2 linked regions of the Schizosaccharomyces pombe genome follow. The protein of the gene in region 2 interacts with the protein of the main gene of each other region in a biochemical or structural test. Each region holds a gene or a part of one and is shown on either strand. Other genes may lie near its edges.

What was found.
Region 1: of the proteins of ark1 (region 2) and mra1, one has a biochemical effect on the other in vitro, tested with the Schizosaccharomyces pombe proteins (one study listed by BioGRID).

The regions. Positions count from the first base shown.
Region 1 is NC_003424.3:2,228,865-2,233,318, forward strand, and holds mra1 (rRNA (pseudouridine) methyltransferase Mra1), read right to left. Parts: upstream 2,590-4,454; 5' UTR 2,549-2,589; coding exon 1,469-2,548; 3' UTR 1,099-1,468; downstream 1-1,098. Other genes in the region: U3 snoRNP-associated protein Utp11, read left to right, coding at 151-900; protein Edc1, read right to left, coding at 4,285-4,454. UniProt on the Schizosaccharomyces pombe protein: S-adenosyl-L-methionine-dependent pseudouridine N(1)-methyltransferase that methylates the pseudouridine corresponding to position 1189 (Psi1189) in S.cerevisiae 18S rRNA.
Region 2 is NC_003421.2:138,973-144,063, forward strand, and holds ark1 (Aurora-B kinase Ark1), read left to right. Parts: upstream 1-2,657; 5' UTR 2,658-2,689; coding exon 2,690-3,757; 3' UTR 3,758-4,066; downstream 4,067-5,091. Other genes in the region: serine racemase Sry1, read right to left, coding at 250-1,221; peptidase Atp23, read right to left, coding at 4,248-4,255, 4,322-4,871. UniProt on the Schizosaccharomyces pombe protein: Component of the chromosomal passenger complex (CPC), a complex that acts as a key regulator of chromosome segregation and cytokinesis.

The DNA of each region.
Region 1 (4,454 bases), on a different chromosome or scaffold from region 2:
GGGTAATAGCGTATCTTAACGTCCTGAGCACATTGCACGCTAACACTTGTAGTGCCCTAAACACAAATATTTTGCAGAGGCGAATCTGCTAAAAGCCAATAATTCGGTTCTTTGACAAACAGCCAAACATTAACCATAACTTTTTTAAAGATGTCTTCGTCTTTTAAAAATGCAGGTCAAAGGAAAAATCATCGAGAAAGAGCTCAGCCTTTTGAAAGACGAAAATGGGGTTTGCTAGAGAAACGAAAGGATTATGCGCAGCGTGCTCAGGATTATAAGACAAAGCAAAAGAAGTTAAAACGTCTTCGTGAAAAAGCCCTTGAAAGAAACCCTGATGAGTTTTATCATGAAATGACACACAAAAAGACCAAAAATGGAGTACCCCTTGAACAGCGCGAGGATTCAACCATCGATATGGACACAATCAAAATTTTGAAAACTCAAGACATTGGCTGGATTCGGCATCATCGCAATGTTGAACGTGCTAAAATTGATCATTTGGAACAACAAATGCATACTGTGGGAGCTCATCGGAATAAAAATGAATCCAGGAAGCACACCATCTTCGTAGACAATGTTAAAGAGGCAAAAAGTTTTAACCCAGCTGAATTTTTCCAAACTACAGATGATCTGGTTGGTCGAACCGAAAATCGTGTAAAGAAAGATCAAATTGAAAACAATGAACTGACAAACCAGCCTTTTTCTGGAAAATTGCACTCAAAATTAAAAGAAAAGGCGGCGACCGAGCTTCTTTTGCGCCAGAAACGCGACAAAAAATTGGCGGCTGCTGAAGAACGTGTCGAGCTTGATAGACTTTTACAGGGAAAAGGAGGCCGTCAGAAAAAGAAGGTCGTAAACGGAAAACCGGTATACAAGTGGAGGAATGAGAGAAAACGATAATTTCCTTAAATTGCTCCTAACATAATTGAGGAACTGTTTTCAGTTTGTTGTGTTTGTGATTTACTGGTTGTTATTTCGTTTCTTTCATTTAGTTGTACCTTTTTTGTTATTTATCATTTTCTCTATTTAGTATGAATGTACTTAGGTTTTGGAATTTTTAACGAATGGATTGCTTATTTATGAATAATTTGGTTTAATCATCTGTCTAATTCTAAGCAAATATCCATCTATTTCTCATATTGAGCTTCATAGTGTTGTGAGTCATTCAATATTACCGAATTATTTTATCGGTGAGTATTAAGAGTTTGTCTTAGGTTGTAATTCCCAAACTTTAAAAGTGTATGGAATGGTTTAATTCAATGCCTTGTAGTGTGATAAATTGTTTCCTTTCTTTTTGTAATTGCAGAAGCTAGAATTATAGTTGTTATTTTATTCTAATACTCTCTAAAGAAAATGTAAAGTACGAAACGTACCAAAAAATTCAAGCTATATCAAAAAGTGAATATCTATAGCACAGGATATAAGCTGAATAACAATGAAGACAATGCAAAAATTTTTACCTTAATAATTATACAATTCCTAGAAAGTCTTCCATAGAATGAAGAAATTTAGAGCAAGCAATACTTGCACTCAGAGGGTAGTCACTAATACTGATTTTTTCGTCAACCCAACCATCCGAAAAATCGTCCGGACCATGAGCCATAGCACCAATTGCAATACAAACCGATTGGTTGGGCTGTAAAGTCTCAAGATACTTGCGAGGAGGAACAGTAGGAGCATCAAAAGATAATGTTGCCTTTCGACAGTTCGGAGGAAGGTAGTCTGTAACTGGATTTTTGATCACCTTTAGAAGCTTTTCATTGCCATTCACACTACGAATAGAGAGCTTGTGAAGAAGCTGCACCATCAAACCGGAAAAACGTTTGAAAGTTCTAGGAATACGAACAGAGGGATTCACTTCAATCAAAACTTTCTTAGCTGTGTGAATGTACACTTGAAGACGACCTGCCTTATTCAGTGGAGAATCCAAAAGAGTCAATAAGCATTGATGAGTAATATCAGGACGCGCTTGAGCAATGTTACGGTTTAACTTTTTTAAAATACCTTGATGATCATCGCAATTTAGAAGTTGATATTTTGCATCCTTAGCCTTGCCAACTTTATAAATTTCCAAACATGCTTGGTCCAATACGACAATCAAACGCTGTGTTGTAGTATCATGAGAACCAATTGACCTCGCTGGTATTGGCGCCATATGGGTAGTAACACGATGAACCGACCCTGCAGGAAGTGGACGAGCTTTGACGGTTTTGGAAGAAGCACCATTGGGATCCTCCTTTTCTTCATCTGACTTTACTACATTATCTATTTCTAAAGCCTCAACACCCAACTCTCGATCGATAGACTCTGGCTTTTTCGAAAGAGCTTCAACAGAAGCTTGATTCTCACGAAGTCGTTGTAATTCTTCATCTTCAATAGAACCTACTGCACCATTACTCTGCTCCTTTTCATCTTGCATCAATTCACTAGCAGTTTCACCTGACGTTATTGTTTCACTCGATTGACTTCTCTTTATGAATTTGGGTTGATTGGTTTTCTCAGAAACCTCTAAAGAGCCTCTAGACTTCCTTTTGGAATAAGTAGGCATGAATGATGAAAAAGCTAGTCTACCAGATATTGGGTTTCGACAAAAAATAATGGCTTGAGAAATTTGCTTTTGGTGGTAGCTACAAATAACTATCAGATCTAACCTACCTTGCTTAAACAAGATAACGCATATTTACGAACTTACGATCCGCTTAAACCAACAAGTGTAAAACCAAACATATCACTCGCGCATTGAGCTGAACAAAACAATGACTTATCTAAATCAACAAAAAAATTATAAAAAATCTACACACGCCGAAAATTTGTTTTCAATGAATTCTATATTAACTAAAAAAATGCAGGTAATATAAGTCCATCTTCAGCAAAAAAAAAAAAAATAAAAATAAAAATAAAAAAAAAACGGAAAAGAAGTAAAGGAAGTGGATTAAAAGGAATGTGTAAACAGGTATCGTCAACACACAGAAAAACCGTGCCTTCTAATACTGTTGCACATATCAGGTGGATAAATACACAAACGCGACACATCAGTGACGGAAATATGTGTTTATATTAGAAAAACTAAATCACCACTTAATGCAACATTATTTGTAAACAATGAAGGAAAGAGATAAATTTAAAGTTTTAAAAAGAAATGATTCCAAAACTATTTACAAATAAGAGCAATAAATGTTGCCGTAATTCAGTCTTTACGTAAAAACGATTTGCGAGTGAAAGATATTATAATCAACGATAAGTTGACTATCTTGACTAGCAATGAAAGCTCAAAAACCGAGGGCTTGAAAATTGCAAACATTCAAAAAAAAAAAAGCATAAAGCACATTGCATGTACTCCTTGAGCGTAGAAGATAGGTTACAACATTCGCCAAAAAAGGTGACCACATAAATATCACTTATATTAGCAAACATCATGTATATCATGGACGAAAGTTTAAAAGGTTGGCAACCAAAGCCAAGTTCATGAGAGGAAAAGAAGATTATAACTATAATCCTCGACACAGGAAAATAAGATGTACTGTCATCGCAAAGCAATAGGCAACACGTCAGTAATAATTAGGAAAATTAAAAGAAAAAAACACAAGAGAAAAAAATGTACGAGACCGGTGAAACAAGTTTCAAACAAATCTCGATAAAAGCACAACGAGATTATTAATAGCATAATAAAAACTAGCCAGAATAAAATTAATGCAATATGCAGATCATAACACCCAACGCTCATAAAAAAGGTAACAAATGCCCATTCTAAGCATACAAATCGAAAAGTAAACGAGGCACATTTTCGATAAATAGTCATTGACGAACATTTCCATATTATAAATGAATTGCTCGCTCAATTAACTAACAAGGAATAAGATGAAGTTAAGGAAATCTAGTCAATAAAAATCAAGATTTCAAATCCAAGAAATCCATTAAAAACGTTGGCATTTCTTTTAACTATAAGCCGTTAGAAAAGGAATTCAGTAGCTTTTGTATGAAATCCTCTAAAAACCAAAAGCGAAGGAAACAAAATTAACCCATATAGAGAGCTAAATTCTATAATCCAAAAAAACAGAAAGACAGAGGTACATAGGGTGATAGTAAGAAAGTCATAATACTAGCAAAAATACTAGACTATGATAAATTCTCTTGGCCAATGTTCAAATAAATAGTGCTACAACGAACACGTGTAGATAAACGCGGAGACGAAAGAAGGTGAAACAAAAAAGTGGAATAGTTAGAACAGAACACGAGGCTTAAAAAGGTGATATGTCCTTAGACATAAATAAGCATCCAATGAAACTATGCACTTCCTTGACGCAGCATACGGAACAAGCGCTGTTCACGATCGCGATGAAACAATAAGTCTAGGGCAGAAGTAGAATGACAATGAATGCCGTTATTAGGGGAATTCAAAGTAGGGGTAATGTTACCAGTGGGATGGCCGGCAGCATTGAAGTGATTAAAAGAAG
Region 2 (5,091 bases):
GAAACGTAGCGCTTGCTGTTTGTTATTTATTGGTCTAGGGTATTTTTCAAAGATTAAGTAAAAGGAATTAATTTTTTGTCCAGCATTCAATTCTATATACCTTTCCTAACGCAAAATGTTGCTTCATTATACGCAAACAATCAATTGCGAGATAGGCTCATTTCCATAATTTAGCAGCATGTAAGCATCACGAAAAGTAAGAGCAGTTAAATAACGGTTTTTATTTGATCAAAAAGATGATAATTATGATTACTGTGATAAGAAATGGGCATAACGCTCAATGTCTACGTTTCCTCCACTTATAATGATACCAATTCGTTTATTCTTTAGCTTTTCCTTCATAGCGCGCGCTGCCGCAAAGCTAAGACATCCAGTGGGTTCGACTACAATTTTCATACGTGCGGCATAAAACTTAAGACAGTCAATTAGTTCCTCGTCGGACACAGTCAATATATCATCGACCTTTTCTTTTATAATGGAAAACGTGTAGTTACCCAAATGTTGAGTTTGAGCACCATCGGCTATAGTTTTTGGTGTATCAATATGTACGATAGATCCTTTCCTAAAGGACTGTTGCCCATCGTTTCCAGCTTCAGGTTCAACTCCATAAACTTCGCAGTTTGGAGCAAAATGGCGAGCAGCAAGTGCTGATCCAGAAAGCAAGCCACCGCCTCCGAGACAAACAAAAAGTGCATCAAGAGGGCCAACCTCTTCAAACAGTTCCTTAGCTGCGGTTCCTTGACCAGCAAGTACATGGGGGTGATCGTAAGGAGGGATAATGGTAAGACCTTCTCTTTCAGAAATTTCTTTGGCCATCTTTTCTCTATCATCTTTGTATCTATCATACATGATTACTTGACCACCATAGCCTTTCGTGGCAGCGACCTTGGCTTCGGGTGCATCGAGTGGCATAATGATTTTTGCTGGAATTCCCAAGATCTTTGCCGACAGTGCAATGGCCTGAGCATGATTACCAGAAGAAAACGTCAAAACACCAGCTTTACGTTGAGCTTCATTGAGTTGAGAAAGAGCATTAAGGGCACCGCGAAATTTGAAAGCACCCATTTTTTGGAAATTTTCACATTTAAAAAACACTTCTGCCACAAACTCTTTATTTACTGTGCTCGACGTGAGTACTGGGGTTTTGTTGGCGAATTTCTTAATTCGCTCACTAGCTGAAGCAACATCATCATAGGTAGGAAGCACCAGGTTATCGCTCATTGTCGTAGTTTTTTAAAAATTTAAAAAGAGTGAAAATATCCTTTTATTCTGTAAACTATTCAGTCTTAAAATGCAAACTGAAGAATTTAACGACAATGAGAGATGTCAAATCAAGCAGAGCTCTCGATCATTTATAGAGAGAACCGTCAACTGTAACGCTATCTTATCTTTACTATGAAAAGAAGGTCAAAAAATGCGAGCCCAACTCGGAAACGAATTTATAGGCGACAATTGTAAAGACACTTACACAATTAGAACCAAATGGAAATGAAACAGCAGGACGGAGCTCCAACTTGCTAGTTCATAAAACAGTGACATGTAGCATAGCGAGTATAATGCTAATCACTATTTGTAGTATTCCTCTGTAATAAATGTTAACATTATATAGTGAGAATTTCAAGATGTAGAAACAGTCTGTTAAGAGTGTCATAGAATATAACGAAAATGCATGTATAACAATTGTTTCGACTCATTGAGTGCCAGAATAGTAACGTCTTTCTACCTTTAGCGTGATGAACAGTCATGCAGCATTGGTTAAATATATCAATAGTTTGAACCAAGCCTCGTTAATTTCTGTAAACTGTATCTGCTCAGCAATGGACTTGACTGCAGCTTAAATCAGTTTAGAAATAAATATCCAACAAACGGTGTTTTGACTTTCACATTACTATGCATATAACTCGTTACTAAAGAGTTCTTTTTTTTTATGAGAAATCTTAATCAAGAATGAAAAAGCTGATAATTAATGCTAAAACAATCGCAGAATTATATAATCCGTCATGGTCCAGTGGCTAGGATTCATCGCTCTCACCGATGCGGCGGGGGTTCGATTCCCCCTGACGGAGATTTTTTATCGTGTACTTTTCTAAATTGATTGAGAAATACGATAATTTATTATCAACTACAATTGTTAATTCACTTTTCGGTCCTTTTCTTTTGGTGTTACTCTACTTACTGAATTCTTTTCTTTTCTTGTTAGTTAGCACTGTCTCCTTCTGAAGCGTTAATATTGTAAGTATTCTATAACTAGTATTGAATAGTTCACTGTATATCGTTATTCGGTAAACAAACAGTGGACACATTGAAAAGAATAAAAAACAGATACTAAATATACTTTTAAGCCTGTGGTATTGGGATGATATAGAATATTCTGTTTGTTTTCCTTTTATTTATTTTGTTGAGAACGATACATGTCGTTTTTTTTAATAACATTTGTAGAATCGAAGTGGGTTCGTATGCTAAATAAATTCGTTCATAATTTCCATGTAAATAATCTTTGAAACACCCTTTGAGTATTCATAAATAACAACGGGAATCAGAGCCTCCTTCTTAGTTTGAAAGAAAGGAAGATAATAGCAGGCTGTGTTAAGACTCAGTAAACATGGTGTTACCTCAAAATGTAAACAACAACGCTCCTACTTCTGGACGAACTTGTCAAAAGCCAACATCAGCGTTTTTTTACGAAATAATGTCAGATTCAAAGTTGGCAGATTCTTTGAATTGCCTTTCTGTGTCAACTCCATCAACCACAGCTAATCCTGGGAGACAACAGCTTTTACGACTTGCAGTATCAAACCAACGACAAGTAAATAATGTTAGTCTAGCAAATGGGAAGGAAAACAAACGGACTTCAAATAGCAAGTTCAATTCTTCCCTTCGTAAGATAGAAGAGCCAATTGCTGGAGTACCTTCATCAGCTGGTCCTCAATGGCGAGAATTTCATATTGGAATGTTTGAAATTGGAAAACCCTTAGGGAAAGGAAAGTTTGGAAGGGTATATCTAGCTAAAGAGAAGAAGACCGGGTTTATTGTGGCTCTCAAAACATTGCATAAGTCTGAACTTGTCCAGTCAAAGATAGAAAAGCAAGTTCGACGAGAAATTGAGATTCAATCAAATCTTCGCCATAAAAACATTTTACGGCTATATGGGCACTTTCATGATGAAAAAAGGATTTATTTGATTTTAGAGTTTGCTGGCAGGGGTGAGTTGTATCAACACTTGCGTCGTGCAAAACGATTCTCAGAAGAAGTTGCGTCTAAATATATCTTCCAAATGGCTAACGCCTTATCCTACTTGCATAAGAAGCATGTAATACACCGTGATATCAAACCTGAGAACATTTTATTAGGAATTGATGGAGAAATCAAGCTTTCTGACTTTGGTTGGAGTGTCCATGCACCTTCTAACCGTCGTACCACTTTATGTGGTACATTAGATTACTTACCACCTGAAATGGTGGAGGGAAAAGAGCATACCGAAAAAGTTGATCTCTGGTCGTTGGGTGTCTTAACTTATGAGTTTTTGGTGGGAGCACCGCCTTTTGAGGACATGTCTGGTCATTCAGCTACGTATAAGCGTATCGCCAAAGTTGACTTAAAAATTCCAAGCTTTGTTCCTCCTGATGCACGGGATCTTATTTCTCGTCTATTACAGCATAATCCTGAAAAAAGAATGAGTTTGGAACAAGTTATGAGGCACCCTTGGATTGTAAAATATAAAGATTCATGGACTCGCAAAAGTTCTGAATCTTCCTAACCGCCATCTTGGTACTTTTTATTTAATTTTTCCTTCTTCTCACTACATTTTTGCATTACTACTTTCTTTTTGTTTCAGCGCTCTTTTTAATCGCGCAGCTCACTATATTCCTTCAGAACTTTTTTGATCTTTGGGGGTTATGGAGGTTTAATTATATGTAATATAACACACTCATTTAATAGAGGATCACCACCATAAACTAATCGTTTTCCAGATTTTCTTTTCGAAATCACTTAGAAGACATTCATTTTCCTAATAAAAACTATTTAAAAATTTATCATCACTTTAGCCAAGCTAATAATAACTTCCAAAAAAACTGTTACAATATGTATAAAGATAAAGTACGCCAAGCACATAATAAGTTGCATAACAAGTGAGAAGTATGCTTCGATATTTTTTAAAAGCCAACGTAAATGCTGTACGGGATATTATAAAATGGGAGGGGAAGGGAGTTGACATAATAACTATCTGACTTTTGTAAACTGGTATTTCAATAGACTAGACGAAAGAATGAATAGTTAGTACGAAGAAAAAAATGAATGAACAAAACTACAGCGAACGTACTTTTTTCAAAAGGCCTGAAATCGTTGAAACAGGAATTGAACACTTCTTCAACGATTGCTTCTGCTTGCTCTTTGCTTTTACAATTCGGGTTACCTTGTACGGAGATAGTAGCTCGTCGTTTGACGCATTCTTGATGATGCTTCCGAAAAGTTTTAATGTTACCAAAACGAAGTTCTTTGGTCCAGCGACACTCACCACTCATACTACTAGCACGAATTTCTGAACAAGCCTGATGTCTCAAATTGTTCCAATCGACTTCAAACCTGTGGTCGTCAAACATGTGTATCATTTCATGGGCAATTGTATTCTCTGCCATTTTTTTAGTATAAAGTCTGTTTTCACACAGAACTATCCCTTTACCGGGAATGTAACCTCCAGTACTTTGTGCATCACAAGGCTGGCAAGAAATGTCTTTAGCTTCAATGTTGCAATTCAAACGATCCAAGGCAGTTTTTAAAAAAATAATTACTGGAGATTGGGACATTAAAGCGCGCTTTACGCGCTCACAATTTTTCCTCTCTTTCGACCAACTTTGTGGATCTTCGCTCATATCTAAATGCACGTTTCCTTAATTCTTATAAAAAGGCCTTCAAAGGAGTTTATGGAGACAACAAACGATATCTCTAATAAATGTCAATTAATAAATTTTACCTGTACAACATTAGGTGGTTGAGTAGCAATTCGCATGAACAGGCGAAACCCCGAAAATAGTGATCGACAGAGGGAAAACACTAGTGAAGTTCTTCGTAAATATATAAGAAAGATTACAC